Oryctolagus cuniculus: one gene and its partners. The protein of the gene in region 6 purifies or fractionates together with the protein of the main gene of each other region. This does not show direct contact. Links are inferred from orthologs where the notes say so. Each region holds a gene or a part of one and is shown on either strand. Other genes may lie near its edges.

Region 1 (4,015 bases), on a different chromosome or scaffold from region 6:
ACCCACGGGGAGGCCAGGATGGAGTTTCGGGGTCCTAGCCTTGGCCTGGACCAGCCCCAAGCGTGGCAGCCAAGGACAAGAGCCCCCGGCCCGCCCTTCATCAAGTCGTCTCTGTAAGGAGAGCCCTCGGGGTCGGGGCAGACAGAACCCGCAGCCCCCAGCACCGCCAGCGGGGAAGTGAAAGAAACGCCAGACTCGGCGGAGAGCTGGTCCCCACCCGACAGACACGAGGCCACGCAGGCTGTGGGGCCACCCAGACGCCCCCCACACCCAGGCTGGCCCGGGCACCTTCGCCGCCGCCTGTCCCGCGAGGCGCTCCGCTGGTCTCGGTTGCGCCGGTCCCGGCTCCGGCTCCGGCGCTTGCGGTCCCGGCTTCGCGAGCGGCTATGACTGCGCTTCCGGTGCCGGTTCTCCTTGTCCCTCTCTGCGCAAGGCGAGAGGCAGGGGCTGGGCTGAGTGGAGGGAGGACGCGGGCCCAGCCCACCCTGCACGCTGGTGGCTACGCCCAAGACCCAGGGAGGCCACCCCCAAGGGCAGGGACTGCAGGAGGAAGGGAGAGAAGAGGCCTCCTGGGTCCACAGCAGAGGGGACCGCGGACAGGGCCTGCTAGTGCCCCGGGGGTGAAGATACCTGCGGATGCTCAAGGGCTGAGGAGCCAGAGAAGACAGAGGAGGCTGGCTCCTGGTCCCCCTCGAGGGCTGAGGGGCCTGACCCCAGGGTCGTCCCTGAGAGGGGCAGGGCTAGACGCTGGGGAATCAAGAGACCCAATGATGCTTTCCTGAAGGGACCCAGCGACCCCTCAGGAAAGACGCGGGCACCGGCTGGCACCCACAGCCCCCCACGTCCGGCCCAGGAGCACGGAGCCAGGCGTGATGTGATGTGCCCGGATGCAGGACGCTCGAGTCATCCCTCTCCTGCAGGCAGGCCACGCGGGACCAATATGCCTCCATCCCCTCGGGGCGAGGACCAGGGACTCCAGGTCCCGCCAGGACCTCCGCAGGACACCGCGCGCCCCGGCACGGGCCCGACCGGGCCACCACACGCAGCGCAGGACAGGTCCACGCCCCCGTGGCCTCCGTGTCACACACTGTCCAACGTGGCTGCGCGTGCTCTGCCCCCAACCACGCACGCTCAAGCACGCACAACCGGGAGCACCGCCTGCATCCCCAGCCAGAACCTGCACCCAGGCTCGGCCACAGGACGGGCGGCCGGGACGCGCGCCAGCAGCCTGCACCCGCCACTGCTGGACACGGGGCCGGCGGAGCAGACAGTCCGCCTCCAACCTGCACGACGACACTCCCTCCGCGGAAGGCAAAGACAGAGAAACCCCGCTGGGGTGCGGAAGACAGAGACGAGGGCGCCGGCCCGCAGCCAGCACGCGAGCACCGCGCGGGCGCCGGGCGCCGGCCCCAGCAGCTCTGCTGCCCACGGGGACCGGCCCAGGAGGCGTCCCGCCGCCGAGGCTCAGCAGCGCGCAGGAAAGGGACGCCCGCGGGGCGCCCGGACGCAAACAAGGAAATCCCCTAGGCACAGGTCGCCAAGAGACGCAGGGAGACTGGCGCGCTGGGACAAAGACCCACGCACGGCACGGGGCACACGTGGGCCCCGGAGGAGGCGCCGCACACCTGCCGGACTCCGCGCCAGCTCCTCCCCGCTGACCGCAGGACGCCACGCGAACGCGACCGGAACTTGGCTCGAGCAGGCGCCGTCCCGCCCCGCGCGCCAGGTGCGCCGAGGGCCTAGCCGACGGCGGGAGGGCAGCCGGCCCGGCTCGCCCGACTCCGTGTCCGCCCTCCGAGCCCCTCCCGCAGCGGGGGGACCCGGGCCGTGCTCGCGAGGAAACGCGGGCGGACCGAACAAAGCGCCGGCCCCCAGCGAGGGGCGCAGCTTCCCTGCAGCGGGGCTCGCTCGCCCCATGAGGAATCTCTACAGCCAGAAACATTAGCAAAGAACACCGCACCCTCGGTACTCAGGCGGCAGGCAGGCCGCGGGAGGGGCGGGCTCCGTCCACCCCCGCCCCAGCTCGGGCCTGGGCCCCTGGACCTCCGCTGCTCCCGGCGCCCTCACTCTCGCCGAACGCGAGAAGCGGGCACGCAGCCCCGGGCGGCGGGGCGCTGCCGGGCACTGCCTGCCTCGGCCCGCAGCCGCGCCGTCCCACCTCCGCGCGGACACGCAGGAGGCCCAGCTAGGGGCCCCGGTCCACGCGAGGGGGAGGGGGCCGTCCCCGAGACCGCCATTTTGAAACAAAGGGGGCGTGGAGACGCAGCCCCGGCACAACCGGAAGCGGAAGAGTTGCAGCAGCGGGCGAAAAAGAAGGGGATTACAGGATCTAACATACTAATCGTCTTTGCCAAGAAAGGGAGAGAGCGAGCAGAGCTAGGGTCGACGACTCCGGCGCCAGCGCGCCGCGTCCCCCTTCGCCACCTCCGCGGGGACCACGTGGGCGCGGGCGGGCGCCGTGCGCATGCGCCACGGGCCCGCGCCCGCCGCCCCTGCCCCTCGCCGCGCCGCGGGCGGTCACGTGAGCGAGGCGCGCCGCGGGAGGGGGGGTGGATCGCGCGGCGCCGAGGAATGGGAAACGAGGGGGAAAATGGCGGGGGCCGAGGAGCCAAGCGAGGAGCCACCCCTCCCGCGCCGCCCCGCCACCCCGGCGCCCTCACCTTGTTTATTCTCGTTGAGCTGCCGCTCGAACTCGTCGAAGTCCGACATGCTGAGGCGGCCGCGTCGGGCCCTGTGCAGCGCTCGCCTCGCCTCGCCGCCCGCCCGCTCCGGCCGCTTCGGCTACTTCCGCCGCTAGCTTCGGCTACTTCCGGCCGCCGCCGGCGCTGTACCGCCTCCTACCTAATCAAGCCCCGGCAGCCCGCCCCGCCCAGGCTCCGCCCCTCGCCCCGCCCGACCCCCGCGAGCCCCGCCCCCGAGCCTGGCTCCGAAGCGCGTCGGCTCTTTCCGGACGGTCGGCCTCGGCGGTTTCCGAAAACGCCCGAAGCGAGGACCTGGCCGGCGTCTCGGGTTTCCGTAACTTTCCGGAAGTCAGCGCCTCGCCGTCCGGCTGTGTTCGCGGGTCCTCGCGTCCCTCGGCGCAGAGCCCTCTCCGCGGGTTCGGCTCCTCCCGACAATTCCAACCGCCCCAGTCTCTCCCTCTGCAGATCCGCCGCGCTGCTCCGCCGGACCCGCCTAAGCAATCGGCCACTGCCGACGACCTTTCCGAGGGTTTCGGCGCTCGCCAGAGGCTTCGGCTCTTTCCGGAGAGTCCGCTCGCGCACTCCTCCCCTACCGGAGAGCTTCGGCTCCTTCCGCCGCGGCTTCGGGAAGCCCCTCCCTCACGGAAGCGGCTTCGGCTCTCTCCGGCGGCGCTTCGGCTCCTTCCGGCGGCGGGAACCGAAAAGGGAGGGAGGACGGAGGCGAGGTGGGTCCGGGGCCCGGGTCCAGAGAAGGGGGCGGGGTCCGGGCTCTCGGCACCTGGCTCTCCCGATGGGAGAGAGGAAGGAAGGAAGGGCCGACTCTCCGGAGCGCCTGAGGCGGCTGCGCGAGGCAGCAGCAGCCTTCGGGCTGGAGGGCGCGCGCGGCCGCTGCGGAGGTTGCCAGCGCGGCTCTGCGCGCCTGCGCAGGGGCTGAGGCGGGCTATTGCGGCTGCGCGGAGGTCGGTCTGAGGCGGGGTGGCGGTGTCGGGTTCCAGGGCCCCCACTGCGCGTGCGCGAGGCTTTCCCTGCCTAAAAGGAGTCCGAGTTCCCGACCGTTAAGCACGACCGCCCGCTCCCGGTTGTCTTGGCAACTGCGTCCGCGCTCTCGCACCCCTGCCGCCGCGCGCACGCGTGGAAGGCGGTGGAAGCACCACTTCCGGGACGCGGCCAACGTCGCGCTGCTGCCCCCTGGCGGCAGACGGCCGCCGTGCCACGCCGCGCCGCGCCCGGGGACCGCCCATGCCGGGGGTCGTCGGGCCCCGCGCCGCTAACGCACGGCGCCGCCCCCGGGGGGCTCGCCCCACCCTGTGCTCCCCAACCCCTCGCTTCCCCTC
Region 2 (4,141 bases), on a different chromosome or scaffold from region 6:
CTCTCTGTGTAATTCTGACTTTCAAATAAATAAATAAATCTTTTTTAAAAAAATTAAAAAAAAGAGAATTCCTGCTCATCCTTGGTCTTCGAGACGTCCCACTAACACCTGCAATTCCTGGGCCCGGGGCTCAGGTCCCCAGCGGCTGTGAGGACAGAGGAGGCGAGGTCAGCACAGCGAGAAGCCCGCGCAGGCGCAGATCAGGGCGGGGCCCACACAGGACACCTGCCAGTCAGGGAGGCGGGAAACGAAGGTGAGGAGGGTTCAAGGCACCGGGGAGAGACCACGGCAGAGGAAAAAGCGTACAAACACATAACAGTCTGAAGGGCTGTGGAGACGGCCCCCGGCTCCTGGCCGTCAGCACAGCCGAGGCCCTCGCACACCACTAAAGGCATTTTATTGGGAAAAACAGAAATTGAAAAGTAGCCTCCAATCTTCTCCCTGCCCAAGGCAGCTGGGGGCCGGCTCCCCCAAAGTCCAGCAGAGAACGGGGGAGGTGGGGGGGGCGCCCAACTGGGCCCTCCGCAGGCTCAGGTGTAGAGGTCGAAGTCGATGCGTTTGGAGTTGTAGAACTGACCACCCGGGGGATCCAGCTTCCGGCAGTAGACTCCGTCTGGGAAGTAGCCTTCGCTCACCCAGGTCTGCAGGTAGACAGGGCGGGGCTGACACGGCGGGGCGGGGCGGGCCGGGGGTGGGGCGGGGCGTGCGGGGGAGGGGGGGGGGCGCTCACCTGCATCTGGGCACTGGTGAAGGGTCCGTAGAGCTCGGCCTCCCCGGTGTTCTCCCACTTATATTCCCACATCACGTCCACCAGGCCGTCGCCCGCCGACTCTGCCTCTGCAACCAGAGGCGGAGCCGATTGGAGCTCCACTGCCCGGCCTCCAGTCCACACCGCTGCCCCTCCTCTGCCCTCCAAAGCTCACCTTCTCTCTGGGGAGGGGTCGGGGTCTCCAGCTCCCCCTCAGCCACCTCCTCCGCAAACATGTCCAGGGAGGGCGGGGGCGTGGAATCCTGGGCCCCCTGGGTCCGACACCCCAACCCCTTCAGCCGCATGGCCAGGCGCTCTCGAGTTTCCTGGTAAACGCCAAGGTTGCCCCGGGCCACCATCTGGTCAGCCAACCCAGACAGCCGGTCCAGGCGCTGGGGGGAACTGGGCCGCCCGGGCCCCTTGCTGTTCCCTTTGCCCCCTCCTCGGGCCCCCAGCCGCCTCAGTGCCCCGGCCACTGTCTCCCTGGGCAGCAGCAGCTCTAGAAGTCCCTCGAGGAGGGCTTGGGCGCTCAGTGGTGTCTGGCCCAGGCTGTCCTCCTCCTCCGAGTCTGAAGCCCGGCGCTGATCCGGGGGCCGCTCCCTGATCTTCACCTAGAATGCAAGAAAGGGGTCAGGGTCGGGGGCTGCAGGGGGTTGTTTCCTACAAACCTGCTCCAGGAGCCCAGATCCAGCCCCCCCACCCCACCCCAGCCGTGCTGAGCCCTGGGCCGCACCCAATCAATATTGTCCAGCCAGCTGTCCTGGATTTGAGCGTCCCGGTTCAGGAAGTAGTTGCCATCGGCATCAAAGTGGCCTTCCTCCATCTCCTCCTGCAGGTTGAAGGGAGTGATGCGCACCCCTCCCTCACTGGGGAGCGTGGCTGCTTCCTGACCTGCATCAGAGACAGAGTCGCCCCATGCGAGGCATGCAAAAAAAAGAGAGAGACAGGAACCTCCCTCCCTCAAGTCCCCACTCGTCCCTCCCTGGGTGCTACTCACCTTCCACATCCTCTGAGGCCAGGATGTCATACTTGCTGGACCCCTCGTCGTCATCATCCTCTTCATCGCTGTCCAAGGAGTGCTTGCCTTTGAAGCGGCTCCCGGGACCCCCGGGCCCAGTCACGGGGTCCACCAGCTGAGAGCAGGAAGGGAGAAATGCAGAATTCTCAGCTCCTCCCAGACTCCAGCATCTGCACCCAAGCTGAGCACCCTCCAAACCCAGTCCTGGGGGACCTGCCCTCCTCTTCAGGCTCCGCTCTGCCTCCCCTCCCCCCAACAAAACGGTCTGGCCCCCTCACCTTCTTCCTGGGAACACTGACTTCATCCTCATCCTCGTCTCCCACGCCTTGGAAGGTCACTTTCCGCTTTGGCATGACGGGCCAGGGGGGCTTCCCTTAACCTGATGGGGGAAAAGTTGCAGAGGAAGCGGCCTGAGCGGGAGGCCACCCACTGCAAGAGAACCCTGGCCACAGGACACGCTTCCTGGTGCGTGCCAGGTCCATTGGGAGGGAAGAGCACAGAGAATCGGGGGCCAGAGCGGGAGCTGCAGCCCGGAGGCTCCCACGGCCTCGGCTCGCCATCCCAGAGCTAACGGAGCTGGGACGCCAGGCCAGACGCGGGGAGTATCCCCACCCCGACGACAGGGGCCCGGCTCCCCCACGTGACCACGCCCATATCCGGCCTCCGCAGTCTGAGCGCTACCGGGCTCGGCGGGCACACACACCCGCTCCCGCAACCCCAAAGCCCTCGGAGCCCGCGGGGCCCGGGCCGACCCAGGACCTGGCGCTCCCGGCCGCTCTGCTCCTCCTCCTCGCGCCGAACTCCCAATTCCACGTGGTTGACCCCCCAACTGTCCCGGGGTGTGTACAGATTAGAGGGCGGCACAGCCACGGGGACTCCGGCAGCCAGCCCCGCGCGCGCTCACCTGGGGATCTAGGGGAGGCAGGGGAAGAAAAGGAGAGATGCTTTCACCAGGGCTGTATCCGGGGCACCTGGCCGCCATCACCCGGAAGCGTACGGCGGAGGCCGGAAGTGGCTTCACTCCACTTGAAGGACTAACAGGAAGAGCGGGCGGAAGTAGGTAGTGAGCTAGGCGGCAACCTCCAACCCTGTCCCCCGCCAGGAGTGACGTGAGCCGCGCGGGTCTGCAGCGGCGAGGAGTGTGCGGGCGCCTAGACCCTGATCGGCGCGGAGGATGCCCCGAAGTGGCTTCGATGCCCTCACGCAGCCTCTGGGGGATGCAACTCCACTTAGAGGGGAGCCCAGGGTCAGGATGGAGGGGCAGAGGAGGAGCAGAGCCGATGGGTTCCAGCCCCAGGTGCCCCTTCCGGGGTTCGCACCACCGTTTCCCGCAGACTGGCCAAGTGCCTTACACTTGTCAGAGCTGCGCCCTCTCCTAGCGTGAGGCGCGGCCCTGCTCTTCTCCCTAAGGGAAGCCAGGCTCACCTGATGGCCTCTGAGGGCACTTGGGACACTTTCAGAACCCAGCCGCCTTTAGGACCCAGGGGAAATCACGTGCTCCACGCCTGTCCGCGGAGCCAGTTCCTGATTTCTGAGGCGGGGCAGCCACTGCTGCAGAGGTGGCATTGTCGCGGGTGCCCTGTGGCCAGCCCAGAAGCCCCTGTGCCTGCTCTCAGGTAGGCCTAGGAAAGGGCAATGGTCCCTCCGGCACCACAGCGGTGGGATGAAGCCCCCGCCCCCTTAGCAATCAGGGCCCAGCGACCCTGCCTAGGTGATGGGATTTGAGGCGGGGAGGTGGGCGGGCCTGGCCCTGGGTGGTGGGACAAGACAGCTAACGCCCAAGGGTGTGCAGGCCAAGACTGTGCCCAGGCAGAGCCTGCTGGAGCTAGGAGGGCGTGAGCATCCTCCCAGGCAACCAGGGGACCACTCCTCTCTCCCCCAGGGTCCCTCCAGGGCCACCACCATGAAACTGCACCGCAAGTCTGTGCTCAGTTTCTTCCAAGGCTGCAGAGCCCAGGCCCCAGACCAGGAGGGCATCTTGCTGAAGAAGGGGGCCCGAAACAGCAGCTACCAGCGCCGCTGGTTTGTCCTCCGTGGAAACCTCCTCTTCTACCTGGAACACCAGGAAGCCCACACTCCCCTGGGCCTCATCCTGTTGGAGAGCTGCCGGGTGGAGCCTCGCCTTAAGGCCGCAGAGCCCTTCGCCTTCACCATCGTGACCCCCGGGGGAGAGGGCACAGGGGGGCGGGCCTACAAGCTGGCCGCAGAAAGCCAGGAGGAGCTGAGGGCTTGGCTGTGGGCGCTGGCCGGGGTGAGCTGGAGGCGGCTGGCTAGGCTGCTTCCCCCCATGGAGGCCCAGTACCGGGAGCTCTGCCAGGCGGCTGGCCAAGAACCCAGGTGCCCCGCCGAGGACTGTGGCTTTCTAGCCATCCTCG
Region 3 (4,142 bases), on a different chromosome or scaffold from region 6:
CTCTATTTGCAATGCTGGAATCTTGTATCTTGGAGCATCAGTTCAGGTCCCACCTGCTCCACTTCTAATCCAGCACCCTGCTAAATGTGCCTCAGAAGGCAGTGCAAGACAGCCCCAGTGCTTGGGCCCCTGCCACCCACATGGGAGACCTAGATGGAGTTCCTGGCTCCTGGCCTAGCGTGAACCAGCAAATGGAAGATCTCTTCTCCCTGCCACCTCCCTACCCCCATCGCTCTTTCAAACAAATAAAAAATAAATCTTTTAAAAAAATAAATATTTCAAATGTACTTAAGAAATAAGAATTTTTAAACACACAAAAAACCTCACTGACCATAATGATAAACAGTAAGCAACCAGCAAAATGCAAGAAATTAAGAAATTCCTTAGGACATCTTACTGTTCCTTATAAACACACACCCAATTGTGTGTGGGAACAACCACCTCTGAGCAACCCTACTTTCGGACAGAGATTAACAAAAAGTATTCTCCAATATGTGGCTGTCATTCTTCAAGCAGGCACAGCTCATTCATTTACACCTTCACTCAGAAAACACTTCCTGAACACTTGCCTTGCACCAGGTCTTGTATACTTGGGGAGAGAATCGAATAGGACACATCCAGGCCTCAAAAAGCAAGTTGGGACTCAGATGAAACCACTCTCCAATTCACACTTCCTGCCTCCAGTTCAAGCACGGCCTTTCCTCCCCAGCCCCATCCGCCCCACCACGACCCAAGAATCCACATCTCAGATTAGACCATATCTCAGTTCTAACCTGAGATTCAAATATTTCTCTCCACAACCCCTCCCAAGTCATCTCTCTCCAGTCTCCCCCAGACTCTAGATACTATTTCACCAGGGCTGCCACCCAAACACGGAATGTACCAATCCCAGAGCAGCCTGGCAAGCCAAGCCACTGGCGCGGAGGACGATGGAGCCAGATGTGAATGCACTTGAGACATTTCACTTGCAGGCTCTGTTCCACAGCCAACTGTAGAAATCTGTCAGCAGATTTGACCGTAGCACAGGAATCCTGCTACTACTTGATTTTTTCACGGGTCTCTCCCTCACAAGTCAACTCCTCTCCATTCAAACAGCCTAGTTCCCTCAGCACAAGGGAGGGGACTTGCACTGCCTTCATCTGTCACGTGGTGCTGCACCTCTAATACTTAGATCACAGCTACGTCCCGCGTACCCGCCGAGATGCATTCCACAAACATCTGCCAAGCAACCTACTACTTCACGCTGGTTACTCTCCTGTGCTCCAGGAAGAGCAGGACCTGTTCCCCTCCCCTCCCCCAGTGCTGTCTGGAGAGGTAAGAGGTGCCTAGCACTGGCTGAAAGGCTACTGTGTTCCCGACTGTTCCAAATGTCCCAAATGTGGCAGCTCACTTAATCCCCACAGAAACATGAGGAATCTAAGGCTTGGAGAAATGGAGAAACCTGCCAGCATCACTCCCAAGGATGTGACACTGGCAAAAGTCAAAGCAAGCCGACAACAAGTGGATGACAGGCACCGTGGGCCCACAGGGGGGTGCTACCAACGCTCACAGGCTGAACAGGCGAAGATTTGGCCGCCAAGGGCTTCTGAACCAGGTCAGGAGGATGCCAAGCGGGTCGAGGATACCGCAAGGAGGCACAGAGGTAATAAAAGACACGAGATAAGCCGTGCTCAGAAACTGATCGATCCAGGGCACTCGACACGAAACGCACTCAAATCTCATTTCTGTCTTGCTCCCTTTCTACTGCTCTCCGGCTCTCAGATGGCACGATCCACTACGACACTACCCGCAGCAGTCTGTCCTATCTGGCTTCAAGCCATGCCAAGGCGGAGAGACGGGAAGCTAAGAGAGAGACAGGCCTTGGCATCTGTCGGGAGAGCGCGCACAGGCTGTGCCTGGCTGACGGATAAACCGACGGATGCAGGAGAAACGGGCGCCGAGAACTCGGTATGCAAGCTGCTTCCCCTCTCTGCAAGAAGTCAGCGAAGAAACAAAGTTGTGGCTGCACCAAGTTCTTTAGTTTTGGGGTGCCAGAGACAGCCGCGAGCTGAGGGGGGGTAGCGTCCCGGAAGATCACCTCTCCTGGATGTCCCACCCCTCCTGCCACCCAGTGGGGACCTCGGGGAAAGGGGGCCGGGGCGGCGCGGCCTCGACTCAACAAATGTTCGCTAAGGGCCTAACAAGTGCCTGACGGTGAGCTCGGAGCCGAGCCGCCGGTCCTTGGGGCGCTCCCGTCACCCCTGGCGGGGAACAGCGCTGAGGCGCCGAGGGTCGTCGGCCCTGGCGCTGCGCGGCCCGGCCCACCCCACGCAGACCCCGCAGGGCATCCTCGTCCGCTCCCCGGCCCCCGCGCGCGCGCGTGCGCACAAGCTGCCGGAGGGGGCGGAGGGCAGCGGACGGCGGGAAAAGAGACTCACCTCGGTATTTCTCCACACGCCGCCCTTGATCATAATTCGAGGCATCTTGGCGACAGGTGGTCTCGGCAAGCGGCCGAGAGGAGCTTCAGAAAAGTAGTAACGGCGCTCCGGTCACGGGACCCAAAGCCGCCACTTCCTCCAAGCGCGACCTTCTGCTTTGAAGAGATCTGCGCAGGCGCAAGGAGGTGGCGGGGGGGGCGGTGGCAGAATAGCAAGTCTCGCGATATCTCGGGAGGCTGAAAGGTTAGAAGTGCTTTCTCAAAGCTCTAGTGTACAGACTGACAGAAAACCATCAAACTGCTGTGGCCGTAGCGCCGTGCGCCGCGCGCATGTCCAAGTCAGGCTGGAGGAAGCCATGGCTCTCGCGAGACATCCGCAGCGGCGGCCGGCCCGGCGTCGCGGTGGGGTTGGTCATCGTGACGTCACTCGGCGGTGGGGGTGCAGACGGGTTGTGTGTGGCCTTGCAGAGTAGCCGGTCCGGAGAAAGCGTCGCGAACTAGCGCTTTATTGAGCGTTTCGCTAGTCGAGTACGCAGGAGGAAGAGAACAGCTTATCTGCGGCTCAGTTTCCCAACCTGTAATACAGAGTAGTAATAATAGCCCCCACCCAGTGGGGTTCTGCTAAGAAGTGAGGTCCTCAGCGGAGTGCAGGGTCTGACAGACGACTGTTCCCAAAAAGCGCCGCTGCGATTCCAAGGAGGGCAGCGCCTCCACCTGCCCCCGGGGAGGGGCGCAGCGGCTGTCCCGGAAGCCCCCACCGATGTCCCCTCAGCGTCTTTCATCCATCGCCATTCAGTCTGTGTGAATTAATAACAAAGACCATTATGGGCGCTGGTATTAAGGGAGCCGGACTCGAGTTGGGCCGGAATCTTGGCTGTCTCGTCAGCGTGGGTAATACCCGTGCTGAATCTCAGAGTGCTCGTCTGAAAAGTGGAGCCAGCAACACCGGCTTCAGCAATCGGAGGGGCAGGATTAGCTGTGACAAACCAAAACCTAACCTTGGATAAGGGTTGTCCAGCTCTCCGCCACCCCACTTCCGAGTTACTCAGACATCTTTCCCATTTCAGAACATCGCTTTGACGCCAGTCCTAGGAAATATGAAAATATTTAGTTAATGGATGAGGAAAGTCCTGGGTCTTTATATAGTGCCTTGCTCTTTAGGTTTTTTCATTTCTCCATTTGCGTCTTCTGGAAAAACTACAGAATGTTCTGATAATTTTTTTATCTTGAAATGGGAACTTTTTAGGTGTTTTTAATAATGCTGATGTCATTTGTTGGCATAAAAATTATTCAGATACAACAGGATATTTTTAAGATTTTTTTTAAATTTATTTTTTGAGAGGTAGCTTTACAGACAGAGAGGGCAAGAGAGGTCTTCCATCCACTGGTTCACTCCCCAAATGGCTGCAATGGTGGGAGCTGGGCCGATCAGAAAGCAGGAGCCAGGAGCTTCTTCCGGGTCTTCCACGCGGGTGCAGGGACCCATCTTCTATTGCTTTCCCAGGCCATAGCAGAGAGCTGGACTGGAAGAGGAGCAGCAGGGACAAGAACCAGAGCCCATATGTGATGCTGGCACCACAGGCAGAGGCTTAGCCTACTATGCCACAGCACCAGCCCCACAATGTAGTGTCTTTAGAATGACTATACTTTATATTCTGTGTATTTAGTCAAATATTTTTCTCATAACTCCCAATGTGTACTTGATCTCCCTATGTGTTCAGCAACT
Region 4 (2,566 bases), on a different chromosome or scaffold from region 6:
TGTGGCCATTTTGGGGAGTGAACCAGCCAATGAAAGATTTCTTTCTCTCCCTGTTGCCCTGACTTCTGAATAAATAAATACATTTTAAAGAAATCTCTCCATATCCCTGTGCTCTCACCAGGCAAGGCACTTACCCAGGGTCACAGAATCAGTCAGGTGATGGGTGACCCTGGCCTGCATGTGTCACTGCTCCCCATGGACCAAGAGCCACATCACCATCCTTGTTCTGTGGGCCATGGCATGCCGAAGGCATCCTGTGTGAATCGGTTAAGCACACTGGGCTACACCTTTGTAGGACTCCAGTGTTTTCCAAGGACAACACAATAAAACACTTCTGAAAAGCATAAGGAGATTCTATTACACGAAAGATATGATGGTGGTAAGTTATAAACCCTGGGAATCCTTAGAGCAGAGAGGAGCCACGTGGCGCTGTGCCAAGTTCCCACTGCCTGGAGTGTGCACAGGGCACGCGGGCCAAGAGACAAGTCTCATTACACCGATTTCACAAGAAAGATCCAAGAAGTTTATTAGACCACAGCAAAATACGAAACTCATTAACGACCATAAAAGCCATACTCAATCAGTCAAGTGCCTCTTGGCACAATGCACCTATCCTGTACGCCATCCCTGGATCTCAGCTCCAACTAACGAGTGCCTTCAAATCAAGACCCTAACACAATGGGATCCCAGGGAGTAGCTTCAAAAGTCTTGCTACTATTACTAACATGGGAAGGAGTCCGGGGAATGAAATGCGGCAGGACATTCTGAATGTCCAGAGAGGGCCTGTGTGTCTAGGACTGGAGTGGGGGACAGGAGACACAAAACAGCAGGGACCTGACAGCAGGTTTCTCTCTTCTACTTCTTCCTGCCGCCTCTCTCCTTGAGGGCCAGGTGGATGATGGCGCCATTGGCCATGTTGTAGTAAGCCAGCGAGTTGGAATCCTTGATGAAGATGCCCTGGAAAGAGACAGTGCGCCTTGGCGTGAGGTCCCTGGCCTTGGACACACAACGTGGCCTGTCCATCTGCATGGCACACCTAGCAAACATGAGGGCTTGAGGGAAGGCGGGGGACAAGGGACTGAAGGGCTCTGGCTCTACCCAAAATGCTTTTTCCTTCCTTCCAATCAACTGATGGACGCTCTTCCCCTTTGTCAATGTTTGGCTCAAAGCTCAACTTCCCAAGAAACTGCCCGACCAAGGCCATGGAGACCTTTGGAGATCACCTGAGCAACAGCCTCGCTTTGCAGGAGGAAACTGAAGCCCAAGGCGGGATTTGGTCAAGTCCAAAAGGGTGAACACAGCACGACTATGTGACCCACCAGGAAGCAGGCAAGGCTGGACTACACCACCTGAGGTCGCCCTGGCTGGGATGGCCTCAGCTCTGGGTCCATGACCTAGCACAGCACTCCCGAGGCACACCCCCAGATCCTGTCCCCAGTGCTCGGGGCAGAGGGTTCCCTGGACTCCACACAAGATGGACTGCCGGAGCCTCACACTGGCACGCTCTCCAGCTCTGGCACCCCCGCCAGCACCTTCACTTCTGGGACAACTCAGAGGATCACTGCCCATCTCCCTGTGCATGGGGGACTTAGCTTCTGGCACAGCAGTGTTGGGACCTAAGGGAAGGGACTGGCACGCTCTGACGCACCTCGTACTGCAGTTTCTGTTTCCCTGCAGGCATGCCTGTAGCTTCGTGAATCTTCACTTTGATGACAGAGACCTGTGGGGCCAAGGAGAGGTCATTCGTGCCCTTGCAAAGGCCAGCAGAAGGAAGCTGTCCCTTGAACCCTTGGTCCCCATGCACGTGATACCGCTGGTGGCAGCAACCCCTACCTGGTCTGTGAGAGGCAGGGTGAAGACCAGCACCTGCCCATTCAGCTTCCATTCCGTCTTATCCTGCATGTTGGGCACCTGGACTTTGATGGACACTGGACCCTGCAAAACAGAAGGGGATCATTATGCCTGGGGACCCCTGAGCCAATCAGGAACTATGTTCTGCCATCCTGAGGGCACCTGGCTCTGGCCTGATTCTCTACTGACACACTTGTCATATTGTACAAGTCACACTCCCATATCAAGATGTGCTTTCTGTTTTCAAGTCCTCCTGCGAGTCTAGAGCTGAAATGAAGAGGTTGGGTAAAAATGCTCTGTGACACCCAAGAAGCACAAGTGTAAAAAAAAGTGGCCTGTAAAATCCAGACCTGATTCCCAACTCGGCTCATAAGGTCTCAGCCTGCCTGTACAACAGAGCTGATCAGAGCGACAGCAGAGCCCTGCGGTGAGCCCCACACGGAAAAGTGTCCCAAGGTGAGCTCCACCCTTGCACTTCGCTAAGTGCCCAAAACAGGACTCTCTTAAGAACGAAAACAGAAGATTTGGTCAAACGCACTGAGCCGTCAGGGGCTGCGGCTGTTTCTCGCCTCCTCACTGGAGCCCAGCAGCTTCCCTGGGGTGCAGCAGCACCACGGTTCCCACCTTCCTTTACTCTAGCACCCCAGCAAGGGCGAGGACTGCAGGAAAGGCCACACTGAGTTCATGAACCACACCCGGGCTTGCTTCAGGTGTC
Region 5 (4,101 bases), on a different chromosome or scaffold from region 6:
TCGTAGGGCTCGGCGGCCATCAGCAGGTACTGCCAGCGCCGGTCCGGGGGCTCGATCCTCTGCTCGTAGGCCGACATGAAGCGGTGCCGGGGGGTGATGCCCTCGGCGATCTCGGGGTAGTCGATCTGCGGGCGGGCAGTGTCAGGGGCCCCCAGCCCCCACTGCCCCCCGCCCCCGCAGCCCCCACCCGGCCCCGCCCCCGCGGCCCCCCCCCCGACCCCGCGGCCCCGCCCACCTGGAAGAGCAGGCTCTGCTGGCCCATCTCCGTGTCCCGCTGCTTGGTCACTGCAACACCAGGGCCGGTGAGGGGCCCCCCCGCAGCCCCACGTCCCGCCCAGGGCGGCAGGTGAGGCCCAGGTCCCAGCTCAGAGGGCCGGCCCAGGGCTGCACGCCACAGCCCCGCCTGCCCCTCCGTGCCCAGGACCCCGCCTGCCCACAGCCCCACGGCCTCGCCTGTCCCCGCCTGCCCCTCCCTGCCCAGGGCCTCGCCTGTCCCCGCCTGCCCCCCCCCCCCCGCCCAGGGCTGGTGTCGGGCGGCCCCGCCCCCTCACCTTTGTAGCCAGGGCGTCCGATCTTCACGAACTTCTTCACCTCCACCTTGACCTTCTCGGGCGCGGGCTGGGCGGGCGCCTCCTTGGCCTCCTTGGCTGCGCGCCGGGCCCTGGGGCGGGGCAGACGGGCGCTGTGGTCCTCCACACCAGGCCAAGGCCACGGGCGCAGGTGCAGGAGCCCCCCTGCCCGGCCTTGGGCTCCCGCGGGGGGGGTGAGGGGCGGGGCCCTGCGGCTGGGGGGCGGGTCAAGGGGCCCTCCCCCGTGTCACAGCCGGGGGGCGCGGGGGGCACTCACAAGTTGGTCTGATGCTTCTTCCCTTGAGTGTGTGCGAGGTAGCTGCCCTGCGTGGAGGAGGCGGGACATGAGGCCGGGGGCGGGGCCAGGCCGGTGGGCGGGGTAGCGGCAGGCGGGGTGGGGGAGGACCAGGCCGAACAGTGGACAGGGCGGGAGGGGGGGACCAAGCCGGCCGGGGGGTGGGGCAGCGGCAGGCGGGGGTCAGGCCGGGGGCGGGGGGATCAGGCCGGCTGGGGGCGGGGCCAGGCCGGTGGCAGGCAGGAGCGGGGGACCAGGCCGGCCAGTGGACAGGGCGGGAAGGGGGGGGATCAGGCCGGCCGGTGGAGGGGGGGGGCCAGGCCGGCCGGTGGGCGGGGCGGGGGCGAGGGGTTCAGGCCGGCCGGTGGGCGGGGCGGGGGCAGGCAGGGGCGGGGGCAGGGTACCAGGCCGGCCAGTACCTCGTTGTTGTGCAGGGTCAGGCACAGCTTGCACTCGTAGGAGCCCAGGTGGTTCTTCATGAAGTAGGGGTCCTGGGGGAGAGCGGCGCGGGGCGTCAGGGGCGTCAGGGGCGTCGGGGGCGTCGGGCGCGTCGGGGGCGTCGGGGGCGCCCCGCGGGGGGGCGGGCGGGCGGCCCTACCTTGTTGATGTCGATGGTCTCCAGGGCCAGCTGCCGCAGGCGCTCGCGGCGGTCCCGGTTGCTCTCGGAGGAGGAGGCCACGCCCCCACTCCCGGTCTTGCCGCCGGGGCGGTGCTGGAAGTCCATGGTGCCGGCCTGCGGACCTCAGCGCCGGAGAAGCCTGCGGAGCCCAGACCGGGGGGGGCCCTCAGGACGCGGCGGGGGCCGGAGACCCCAGGAGGCAGCCCCCAGCCCCTCCCGGGCGCACCCACGCGGGCTCTCCCGTGTCAGCCGCCGGGCCCAGCCGCGGGCGTCGGGGAGAACGGGGGCGCGGACGACCGCCTGGCGCCCCCCCGCCGTCCACTCCCCAATGCCCCTAAGCCAGGGCTGGGCCTCCCCGTGGACGGCAGGGGCCGCTCGGGCCCCATTCGGGCACTGGCCCGAGTCCTGGCTGCCGGCCCGGGCCCCGCACCTGCTCTGACCCGGCCCGGCCCGGCCCGGCCTCCGGGGACTGGACCGGCGGGAGGAGACCCCGCCCCTGCGACCCCGACTTCCGGGCACGGCGCGGGCGGCCCGGCTGACCCCAGGGCGCTACCGGGCCCGCCCGCGGTCCACGCACGAGCCGCCCCCGGCTGACCCCAGGGCGACCCGGGCCCGCCCGCGGTCCACGCACGAGCCCTGGCGGCCCCACAGCCCCTCCATCGGGACGCGAACCCAGGACCTCAGGGCTGGGGGAGGGGGAACCACGCGAAGGGACAGTCGGACAGCGGACCGAGGGGAAGACGCGGCCCCGGGCACGCAGGCTTGCGGGAGGGAAATCTAAGACGCAGCCGCATCGCCGTCCGCACCCGGGACGCCCCGCAGCCCCCCGGGCGCCCGCGACCGACCCCCACGACGACAAAGGCGCCAGCGGGGGCGGCCTCGGGGGTCCCGGCGGCTTTTGGCGGGAACGCCGGCACGCACCCCCGCGCGCGGCCCCGCGGCCCGGGCCCGCCCCGCCGAGCAGCCGAAGGCCCGCGGCCGCTCCCCGGACCCCGGAGCCCGCCCCGGACGGACGCGAGACCCCCGCGACCCCCGCGACGCCCGCCGCGGAGTTCCGGAGGGCCGGGGTCGCCGTGGGGCCCGCCGCCCGCCCCGGCCCCTCCCTCCCGCGCCCCCAGCCCACCCTGGGCGCCCCGGGGCCCCGATGGCCCCCGCGCCTACTTCGTGTGGGTCGCGCCCCGCGTCGCAGGCCTCCGCCGTCCGCCTCAGGAGCCGCCGCCACGACGTCGCAGTGCGCACGCGCGGCGCGGGCGCTCGCAGCACTTCCGGAGGGAGGACGGGCCCTCGAGTGTGCGCATGCGCGTGCCCGAGGCGCGCCTGCGCACAACGCGCTCCGCGCGCGCACCCGCGTCGGCTCTTGGGGGCGGGGGCGGGAACCGGTAACGCCCCGTCCGCCCGCGCTCGGCGGTCCTTCGATCCTGCTTGCGCCTCAGACCCACTTTATTCCGCGGCTGTGTCGCGGCTGCCCGGCGTGTACCCACGCCCCAGCACGCCGCGGTCGCAGCGCGCAAGACTCGCCCGTGGCGCGCAGGCGCAATGGCGCTTCCGGGGCTCCGACCTGGGATCTTTCTGGCGCGAGCGGGGACGGCGGCCGAGAGGGCTCAGAGCTAGCAGCGCGCGTTCCCGGTCCCGGGCAGCGCCGGCGCCATGCGCTACAACGAGAAGGAGCTGCAGGCGCTGTCCCGGCAGCCGGCCGAGATGGCGGCTGAGCTGGGCATGCGGGGCCCCAAGAAGGGCAGCGGTGAGCGGGCGCGGGCGCGGGCGGGGGCGCGGGGGCGCGGGGGCGCGCGGCCGCCCTGAGCCCGCTGTGTGCCCGCAGTGCTGAAGCGGCGCCTGGTGAAGCTGGTGGTGAACTTCCTCTTCTACTTCCGCACGGACGAGGCCGAGGTGGGCGCGGGGCGCGGGGCGCGGGGGCGGGGCGCGGCGCGGGGCGCGCGGGCGCGGGGCGGCCCCGCTCACGGCGCGTGTGCCCGCAGCCCGTCGGAGCCCTCTTGCTGGAGCGCTGCCGGGTCGCCCAGGAGGAGGCGCGGAGCTTCTCCATCGGTGAGTGCGCGGGCCGGGCGGGGCGGCGCGGGCGCGGGGCGGGCGCGGGCACCCACAGCGGCCGCTCCCGCAGGCTTCCTGGAGGACCCGGAGAGGAAGTACGTGTTCGAGTGCGGCAGCGAGGAGCAGTGCCGGCAGTGGACGGAGGCGCTGCGCAGGGCCAGGTGGGGCCGGGGCGGCGGGGGCGGCGGGGGCGGCGGGCGCGGCGGGCGCGGCGGGCGCGACGGGGGCGGCGGGCGCGGCGGGCGCGGCGGGGGCGGCGGCCTGACCCCGCGGGCACGGCCTCTCCCGCAGCTACGAGGTCATGCGGAGGAGCCTCATCTTCTACCGGAATGAGATCCAGAAGATGACGGGCAAGGTGCGGGGGGCGCGTGCGGGGCGGCCGGGCGGGCGGGGCTCCCGGCCCCGGGCCCCGGGTCACCGCGTCTCCCCGCCCGCCGCCCTAGGACCCCCTGGAGCAGTTCGGGATCTCCGCGGAGGCCCGCTTCCAGATCAGCAGCCCGCCCAGCGACGGGCGGCCGGCGGGCACCGGGCCCGGGCCCGGGCTGGACGCGCTGGACTGACCCCGGCCCGGC
Region 6 (3,500 bases):
GCAGCTTCCTATCGAGAGTCAGATGGTGTCAAAGCTGCCGGATATGCTCAATGCAGAGATCGTGCTGGGAAATGTCCAGAATGCAAAGGTAGGAGAGAGCCCTTGGTGCTTCATAAGTGCCTCAGGGAGACTGCGGCGCTGGGGTGCGATGTGCGTCATCATGTGCTTCAGGGCAGCAGTATCCAGGGCCTTCCACTGCCTGCCCCAGTGTCAGCTTCTCAGGTTTGTGACAGATAGTTCTCTTGTTACCAAGAGCTTAGAAAGGACTCTTGTCATTTAATAGTGACGTATTCTAAGTGTTCAGAAAATGCTGTACAGCTTCGTAGTTGGGAATCTCTAAGCGATCCATGGGAGTGTTTCATCTGGACATCAGGAGTTGTCTGTGGTAAGAACCGCAAGCTGTCTCTTACAGGATGCAGTGAACTGGCTGGGCTACGCCTACCTGTACATCCGAATGCTCCGATCCCCTACTCTCTATGGCATCTCTCATGATGACCTTAAGGGAGATCCCCTGCTGGACCAGCGCCGACTGGATCTGGTTCACACTGCTGCCTTGATGCTGGACAAAAACAACCTGGTCAAGTATGATAAGAAGACAGGCAACTTCCAGGTGAGTCGGGTGAGGGTTTTGAGAAGAAGGTCTCAGCAAAAGATGCAGGGTTTTCACATGCCCTCTCTGAGTTCTGCCTGGCAATGATGGGATTGGATTGTAATCTTTGAAACTAGGGATTTCTAAAATATGGCTTCTTTTCCCATAACTTGAGTTAGGTAGATAATTCAGCTGTCTGGTTTGTATGACATCACTTCAATATAGGTCAGTTTATCATGCCGTCTTCATGTTCCTGGGCCAGGCACTTATACTGCCATGAGTTCATCCAGTTGTCCAATTAGAACAGTTACCTTTAAAACACTAACCTGCTGTCCACAGTTGGAGCTTGGAGTTCATTAATCATTGGTGTTTGATCAAGTCTCCCTTGTCTCCAGGTGACAGAACTGGGCCGGATAGCCAGCCACTATTACATTACCAATGATACAGTGCAGACCTACAACCAGTTGCTAAAACCTACCCTGAGTGAGATTGAACTTTTCAGAGTCTTCTCATTGTCTTCAGAGTTCAAGAACATCACCGTGCGAGAGGTGAGCCTGTGCAGCGTGCTGGAATGGGGAGTTGGGATTCACTGACAAGGCGCTTGGTTTCTCTCCTTGGCCACTTGGCTGTTCCTTGACCAATTTGCTCCTTGTGGTAGGAGGAGAAGCTGGAGCTTCAGAAGTTGTTGGAGAGGGTGCCCATTCCTGTAAAGGAAAGCATTGAGGAGCCCAGTGCCAAGGTGAGCCCATCTGCTCTTTGCTTGGGATAAGGATCAGGATATAAGGATCAGTTTGCATAATCTTCCAAAAGTTGAACCTTGAATTTGAGCTTGTGTCTGGTAACCGACTCAGTTCTCCCAGTTTTTGCATCTTTCTCACATTTTTATATGTAGTAACAGTTATTTCTTGTCTGTACATCAAGAGCTGTAGAAGATCTGACCTGGCATGGAGCCAGAGCAGAAAGGTAATTTGCTGCCATGGCTTATTTGTGATTGGCCTCCTGCTGGCCTCTTTGCTTCTTTCCAGATCAATGTGCTTCTCCAAGCCTTCATCTCACAGCTGAAGCTGGAGGGCTTTGCTCTGATGGCTGACATGGTGTATGTTACCCAGGTAAGGGCAGAGTTGTGCTGAGGCTGTGAGAAGGGGGCAAACATTCTCAGTCATTTGTGTGCTGTGGGTGTTGTGGGGAAAGGAAGCCCGGCGCTAGTGAGTTAGAAGGAATGCTTTGCTCTGCCTGGATTGACTAGTTGGTTAATGCATATGTGGTATAGCTACTCTGTTGTACTGCTCCTGAACACGTGGGACAGGTTAGGCTCTCAGAGGGAACGCTAGGAGACTGCATCTGCCTTCAGAAAGAGGGCAGTCCATAGGACACAATGTCCACTTCCAACAGAGAAGGGATTTGCCACTGCAGCTGCAGAGCTCTTACATCAAACAATTTTCTTAGCTATCCTTTGTCTTCACCATTAAGGGTAGGTCACCAGTTCCTTCACTTACGTTGGAATCCTAAATGCTAAGTAAGTCAGAAGCCTTAAAATCATGCAGTGCATGTTAGATTAAGATGTGCTGTGACTTTGAGCTGCACTTTCCTAACTGGTCTGCATTCAACAAGCATCTACCTTCTAGAAAGGAGAAAGCAGTGACTCCACAGGGGCGAGTTTCTGGGCTGGTATGAGTGATTGCATCAGAGCTGAAGGCGGTTAAACCATGGGTAGAGTAGCTTCACAAGGCCCAGGGATGATGGAGACATAACTGGGAATCTTCTTTCCCCAGTCGGCTGGCCGGTTGATGCGGGCGATTTTTGAAATTGTCCTGAACCGAGGTTGGGCACAGCTTACGGACAAGACTTTGAACCTCTGCAAGATGATTGACAAGCGCATGTAAGGGCCCAGCAAGCCTGAGGCTGATCACTGTAGGGGTCCCAGACTGAATGCATTGGAGTGCATCTGATCTCTAGTCCTGATACTTACAGGGTGACGTGAACCCGGGTGAAAGTTAAGGAGAAGGAAAGCCCTCTGGGGGGCTGGGTGTAGTGGGGACAGCAGTCACTGTTGACTCTCAGGTCTCACTGCTGTCACAGTTTCCAGTGTCTTTCTCTGATGAGAAAGTATCTTGTGAGGTTGGGGCTAACCTGTTGGAAATGACAATGAGGGCAATTTGCTACGGTCCTACAGAGGGGACCAACAACTTTGTCGCCTTCCTGGGCAGGTGGCAGTCGATGTGTCCTCTGCGCCAGTTCCGGAAACTCCCTGAGGAAGTAGTGAAGAAGATTGAGAAGAAAAACTTTCCCTTTGAGCGTCTGTATGATCTGAATCATAATGAGATAGGTGTGTGAGAAGCTCTCATCCTCTGGTCCTCACAGCCCGGGCTTCTTTCTTAGCCTTCACTCTCCAGTTCCTGGGGCTTGTGCCAATGACCTGTGTTCATTTCCCACATCCCCTTGAACTATAGGCCAGCTCTTGGTCTTGGGCTCCACAGAGTAAAGGGGGTGAGCCTACCCTTTTCCCACAGTGGTCTTCAGCCTAGTTTATAGATAGGCTAGTATGGCTGGGTTGCAGCCCTTATTTCTCATTTCTTCCTAGGTGAGCTTATCCGCATGCCGAAGATGGGGAAGACTATCCACAAATACGTCCACCTGTTTCCCAAACTGGAGTTGTCAGTGCACTTGCAGCCCATCACACGTTCCACCCTGAAAGTGGAGCTGACTATCACACCAGATTTCCAGTGGGATGAAAAAGTAAGGCTTTGCTGGGAGGTGGGGAGGGGGAGGGACAGGGGCAGGGAGATGGTGAGGGAGCTGGACCCGAGGTGCTGAGGTCCCACCAGGCTCAAGTCCTTTTACCTGTTTGTGCTGGCAGGTCCACGGTTCATCAGAGGCATTCTGGATTCTGGTGGAGGATGTGGACAGTGAG
Region 7 (4,148 bases), on a different chromosome or scaffold from region 6:
TTCTCTACAAGTAGCCAATAAATTTTTTCCAATAAAATTTACACAGAGCTTAAGGGCTAAAACGATCCCAATTTCAGCAAATCTTCTAGAAACCAGTTTAACTGAAGAAAAGTAAAGCAGAAGGCAGGAGGTAGACATGTGATAAAAACACAATTACTGAGCTTTATAAAGCTTTTTATACAATCCCTTTGATAACTATTTTAGAAGCCAAAACATGTACAAAACAGCACACTTTTAATTAGAAATTATGAATATGTAAATATTTCTGAACATATGCAAATACGCCTAGGCCAATGTCAAAGTAACCCCTGGATCCCTGGAAAGCTGCACCCCATCTCTCATTCGAAGAAGACTGGCTCACAGGTGTGAGCCAGGCAGTTAGACACTGCGCTCCACACTCGAGCGCCCGGGTTAAACGCCCAGCTGTGGCGCCAATGCCAGCTCTGCTGCTGCTGCAGGCCCCAGGGGCTGGTGACAGCGCACGCACCCACAGCAGCCATCCGGCCGGCTCCAGCTCCCAGCTCCGGCTGGCCAGGCCTCCTGCTGCAGGAGGTGCCCGCAGAACCCTGGAATCAAGTAGGTCTACCCGGCCTCACTACAGCTTCTCAGGAGCGAGCAGCGGAGAAAAGGCCACGCTGTTCCGGCGCACTCACCATATCCTGTTGTTGTTCACCAACAACGTTTTCAGTCTTCTCAGCAGAGGAAACCCATCCAGCTTCCTGATCTCATTGTCGGAAAAATCGATAGCATCAAACTGGTCCAAGGTAGCACCCAGGTTTTCAATGACAGGAATTTTATACCCTGCGGACAGAAGGGCGGGGCGGGAGAGGCATGAACAGGACCCGAAGGGCCCTCGGGCCGCCGGCGGTGTCCAGCACCCACACCTGCCAGTGAGGAACACTGCGCGCACCCACCGCACACGAGAGCGGGCGGTCTCGAGTCCCCGGCGCCGCGAGGCTCGGCTCCAGCTGCGGACGCGCGAGGCTGACGGCAAGGACGTGCGTGAGGGGCGCCTGACGAGGCTCCGAAGAACGCTGGCGGGGCCGCCCAACGGTTCGCCTTCCGCTGCAGTAGGCCCAGGCCCTACTGTCAACGGTCCCCAACCTCTCCCACAGGCTCCCCGGACACGCTCGTGACGTCACCACAGTCCACATGCTCCCGGGGACGCTCATGACGCCACCAGAGCCCACATGCTCCCGGGGACGCTCATGACGTCACCAGTCTACAGGCTCCCCGGGACGCTCATGACGTCACCAGAGTCCACAGGCTCTCCGGACACCCTCATGACGCCACTACAGCCCTTAGGCTCCCGGGACGCGCTCATGCCGTCACCACAGCCCTTTATTTCACCTCCCCAGCGCCAATCCAGACCTGAAGGCGACGCCCTGTGAACAATTCGCCCGAAAGCCCACCGCTCTAACCGGGGCCTACTGCTGCGCTCGGTGCCCAGCGGAGGAGGGAAGGGCCGCGGCCAGGCCGTTTCCAATCCAGAGCTGCTCAGCACGGCGCGCCCACCAGACCTGGGAGCGGCCCAAGGGGCGGCTTGCTCTCGGACCGAGCCTTTCGCTACAAAATAGCAGCTCCGGGGCTTCCCCCGAAGGTCAGCGGGGAGTCCAGGCCGCGAGCACAGCCAACGGGCGCCCGCGGGCAACCTCCGGCCAGCGCCGCAGTCTCACCCCCGGGAAGCCGAGTCCGGGGCCCCCGCCCCCCATCCCCGGGAAGCCGAGTCCGGGGCCCCCGCCCCCAGAGCCCGGCCCCCGCCTCCCATCCCCGGGAAGCCGAGTCCGGGGCCCCCGCCCCCAGAGCCCGGCCCCCATCCCCTGGAAGCCGAGTCCGGGGCCCCCGTCCCCAGAGCCCGGCCCCCGCCTCCCATCCCCGGGAAGCCGAGTCCGGGCCGACGCCCCCAGAGCCCGGGAAGCCGAGCCCGGAGCCCCCGCCCCCAGAGCCCGGCCCCCATCCCCGGGAAGCAGAGTCCGGGCCCCCGCCCCCAGAGCCCGGAGCCCCCGCCCCCAGAGCCCGGCCCCCGCCTCCCATCCCCGGGAAGCCGAGTCTGAGGCCCCCGCCTCCCATCCCCGGGAAGCCGAGTCCGGGGCCCCCGCCCCCCATCCCCGGGAAGCCGAGTCCGGGGCCCCCGCCCCCAGAGCCCGGCCCCGCCCCGGGAAACCGAGCCCGGCCCCCATCCCCGGGAAGCAGAGTCTAGGCCGACGCCCCCAGAGCCCGACCTCATCCCCGGGAAGTCGAGTCCGGGGCCCCCGCCCCCCATCCCCGGGAAGCCGAGTCCGGGCCGACGCCCCCAGAGCCCGGCCCCCATCCCCGGGAAGCCGAGCCCGGCCCCCATCCCCGGGAAGCCGAGTCCGGGCCGACGCCTCTAGAGCGCCCCACGCGCCCAGGCTCGGCGAGACGGCTCCACCTCAAGGCCGCTTCCCGGAAGGGAACGATCGGGTGAGAAACCATCGGGGCCCCGCCTCCTCCCGCCCGGATCCCAGCCCAGCAGCTCCCGCCCGCCGGGGCCGCCTTCCCGCCCGCCGGGGCCGCCTTCCCGCCCGCGAGGCCCGCGCGACGCTACGCGCCGGGCCGGAAGCCAGCTCGAGGCTCCGCCGGCGGGACGGCCGCGAGGCCGCGGCGCGCGCCCCCCGCACTCACCGCGGAGGTCCAGCTCGCGGTCCCGCACGGCGTTGGTGTACTGCGCCGCCTGCTCGATCAGCTCCGCCGTCAGCTTCACCATGCTGCCGCCGCCAGCCGCCCCGCGCCGCCGCCGCCCCCGCCTGCCGCTGCCGCCGCGCGCGGAGCACACGTCCCGGCATGCCCCGCGCCGCCGCCAGGCCGCACCAATCGCAGATCGACCGCCAGCCCGAAGCAATCGAAGAGCCACGCCTCCCCGGGAGGTCGTCTCGGCCGGCGCTCCGTGCTGGCGTTGGGGACGGGCCGGGCGCGGGGTTCTCCGCCCGGGGCTTTCTGGAGTCGGGTCGGGTGGGGTGGGGTGGGGGTGGGGGGCCCCGCTTCTAGACGTCTGGGTCCGAAAGTTAGGAAAACCGGGGGAAGAGCCCCGCGGACCTCTCTCACACTAGGGCATCGCGCAGTGGGAGCGAGGGTGTGCGTGGCCGCTTGGCGCCGGCGGGGCCGGCCCCGGGAGTCAAGCCCGGGTCTGGTGGGGTTGCGGTAGGCCCGCGGGGGTCTCCCGACCTTGAGAGACTGGAAGCGTGCGTCCTGCAGCCTGCCCCGTGACGCGCGTGGCCGCCGCCGCCCTCTCCCCGCAGGCTCGGCCCGCGCCTGCAGCTCTAGATATTTGTAGTTTTTTGGATGGTACTGTAAAGGCCATTTACAGAAATTCCATTTTTAACTAACTTTTTTTTATATATATAAAAAGATTTATTTATTTGAGAGAGTCACCGAGACAGCATGAGACCTCCCATCCACTGGGTCACTCCCCAAGTGTCGGCAACGGCTGGGGCTGGTCCCATCGGAGCCAGGAGCTCCATCCAGGTCTCCCACGCGGGTGCAGGGGCCCAGGCACTGGGCCATCTTCCACTGCTTTCCCAGGCCAGAGCAGAGAGCTGGGTCGGAAGTGGAGCAGCCGGGGCTTCAGACAGCGGCTCTACCTGCTACGCCACAGTGCCAGACCCTATCTTTTTGTTCGTTTTGTTAAGATTTATTTATTTGAAAGGGAGAGACAGAGAAGGAGAGAATCTTCCATCCACTGATTCACTCCCCAAATGGCCAGAACGGCTGGGGATGGCCCAGGCCCGAGCCAGGAGCCAGGAGCTTCTTCCAGGACTCCCCCACTGGTGCAGGGAACAAGCTCTTGGCCCATCCTCTGCTGCTCTCCCAGGTGCGTTAGCAGGGAGCTGGATCGGAAGTGGAGCAGCTGGGACTCCAACCAGAGCCCACATGGGATGCAGGCGGCAGTGAAACCCACGGGACACAGCCAGCCCCTTGTATTTTACTTGCTCTTTCTTTGGCTTTTTCTTTTTGGATCCCTGTTCACACTGGCTGGGACCTGCAGCACGGCATGGAGCAGTGGTGACAGTGGACCCTCTTTGGCAGGCACCGTTTCTCAGCCAACCAAGGGGAAAGGCCCTAATCAGGCGATCGAGGGTAATGTCGCCAGGCACAGAACAAAACACAGTCGGGTAGCCCCTGCTAGGATG

The links.
Region 1: the proteins of SNRNP200 (region 6) and U2AF2 fractionate together in Homo sapiens (co-fractionation; 3 studies listed by BioGRID, with this or other methods). This does not show direct contact. The link is inferred for Oryctolagus cuniculus from reciprocal best matches to the Homo sapiens genes SNRNP200 and U2AF2.
Region 2: the proteins of SNRNP200 (region 6) and CD2BP2 purify together in Homo sapiens (affinity purification with mass spectrometry; 8 studies listed by BioGRID and IntAct, counting the BioPlex papers as one, with this or other methods). This does not show direct contact. The link is inferred for Oryctolagus cuniculus from reciprocal best matches to the Homo sapiens genes SNRNP200 and CD2BP2.
Region 3: the proteins of SNRNP200 (region 6) and CDC5L fractionate together in Homo sapiens (co-fractionation; 4 studies listed by BioGRID and IntAct, with this or other methods). This does not show direct contact. The link is inferred for Oryctolagus cuniculus from reciprocal best matches to the Homo sapiens genes SNRNP200 and CDC5L.
Region 4: the proteins of SNRNP200 (region 6) and SF3A1 fractionate together in Homo sapiens (co-fractionation; 3 studies listed by BioGRID and IntAct, with this or other methods). This does not show direct contact. The link is inferred for Oryctolagus cuniculus from reciprocal best matches to the Homo sapiens genes SNRNP200 and SF3A1.
Region 5: the proteins of SNRNP200 (region 6) and SF3A2 purify together in Homo sapiens (affinity purification with mass spectrometry; 4 studies listed by BioGRID and IntAct, with this or other methods). This does not show direct contact. The link is inferred for Oryctolagus cuniculus from reciprocal best matches to the Homo sapiens genes SNRNP200 and SF3A2.
Region 7: the proteins of SNRNP200 (region 6) and SNRPA1 fractionate together in Homo sapiens (co-fractionation; 3 studies listed by BioGRID). This does not show direct contact. The link is inferred for Oryctolagus cuniculus from reciprocal best matches to the Homo sapiens genes SNRNP200 and SNRPA1.

The regions. Positions count from the first base shown.
Region 1 is NC_091449.1:3,337,062-3,341,076, forward strand, and holds the start of U2AF2 (splicing factor U2AF 65 kDa subunit), read right to left. Parts: upstream 2,801-4,015; 5' UTR 2,710-2,800; coding exon 2,661-2,709; intron 425-2,660; coding exon 289-424; intron 1-288. UniProt on the Homo sapiens protein: Plays a role in pre-mRNA splicing and 3'-end processing. By recruiting PRPF19 and the PRP19C/Prp19 complex/NTC/Nineteen complex to the RNA polymerase II C-terminal domain (CTD), and thereby pre-mRNA, may couple transcription to splicing.
Region 2 is NC_091450.1:6,706,452-6,710,592, reverse strand, and holds CD2BP2 (CD2 antigen cytoplasmic tail-binding protein 2), read right to left. Parts: upstream 2,801-4,141; 5' UTR 2,671-2,800; exon of another isoform or gene 2,526-2,670; intron 2,415-2,525; exon of another isoform or gene 2,146-2,414; 5' UTR 2,120-2,145; coding exon 2,045-2,119; intron 1,882-2,044; coding exon 1,746-1,881; intron 1,640-1,745; coding exon 1,482-1,639; intron 1,360-1,481; coding exon 924-1,359; intron 838-923; coding exon 731-837; intron 642-730; coding exon 531-641; 3' UTR 314-530; downstream 1-313. Other genes in the region: sesquipedalian-1, read left to right, coding at 3,670-4,141. UniProt on the Homo sapiens protein: Involved in pre-mRNA splicing as component of the U5 snRNP complex that is involved in spliceosome assembly.
Region 3 is NC_091436.1:125,737,836-125,741,977, forward strand, and holds the start of CDC5L (cell division cycle 5-like protein), read right to left. Parts: upstream 2,801-4,142; 5' UTR 2,463-2,800; coding exon 2,418-2,462; intron 1-2,417.
Region 4 is NC_091452.1:23,643,511-23,646,076, forward strand, and holds the end of SF3A1 (splicing factor 3A subunit 1), read right to left. Parts: intron 1,936-2,566; coding exon 1,834-1,935; intron 1,721-1,833; coding exon 1,649-1,720; intron 958-1,648; coding exon 856-957; 3' UTR 501-855; downstream 1-500. UniProt on the Homo sapiens protein: Component of the 17S U2 SnRNP complex of the spliceosome, a large ribonucleoprotein complex that removes introns from transcribed pre-mRNAs.
Region 5 is NC_091447.1:59,110,277-59,114,377, reverse strand, and holds the start of SF3A2 (splicing factor 3A subunit 2), read right to left. Parts: upstream 2,801-4,101; 5' UTR 2,645-2,800; intron 2,021-2,644; exon of another isoform or gene 1,914-2,020; intron 1,623-1,913; 5' UTR 1,589-1,622; coding exon 1,463-1,588; intron 1,356-1,462; coding exon 1,284-1,355; intron 894-1,283; coding exon 847-893; intron 662-846; coding exon 552-661; intron 286-551; coding exon 236-285; intron 126-235; coding exon 1-125. Other genes in the region: PLEKHJ1 (pleckstrin homology domain-containing family J member 1), read left to right, coding at 3,131-3,224, 3,303-3,370, 3,460-3,526, 3,600-3,690, 3,821-3,884, 3,973-4,089. UniProt on the Homo sapiens protein: Component of the 17S U2 SnRNP complex of the spliceosome, a large ribonucleoprotein complex that removes introns from transcribed pre-mRNAs.
Region 6 is NC_091433.1:111,293,521-111,297,020, forward strand, and holds part of SNRNP200 (U5 small nuclear ribonucleoprotein 200 kDa helicase), read left to right. Parts: coding exon 1-88; intron 89-412; coding exon 413-610; intron 611-984; coding exon 985-1,137; intron 1,138-1,247; coding exon 1,248-1,328; intron 1,329-1,614; coding exon 1,615-1,698; intron 1,699-2,361; coding exon 2,362-2,468; intron 2,469-2,796; coding exon 2,797-2,915; intron 2,916-3,170; coding exon 3,171-3,325; intron 3,326-3,446; coding exon 3,447-3,500. UniProt on the Homo sapiens protein: Catalyzes the ATP-dependent unwinding of U4/U6 RNA duplices, an essential step in the assembly of a catalytically active spliceosome. Plays a role in pre-mRNA splicing as a core component of precatalytic, catalytic and postcatalytic spliceosomal complexes.
Region 7 is NC_091443.1:10,490,476-10,494,623, forward strand, and holds the start of SNRPA1 (U2 small nuclear ribonucleoprotein A'), read right to left. Parts: upstream 2,801-4,148; 5' UTR 2,726-2,800; coding exon 2,644-2,725; intron 802-2,643; coding exon 654-801; intron 1-653. UniProt on the Homo sapiens protein: Involved in pre-mRNA splicing as component of the spliceosome. Associated with sn-RNP U2, where it contributes to the binding of stem loop IV of U2 snRNA.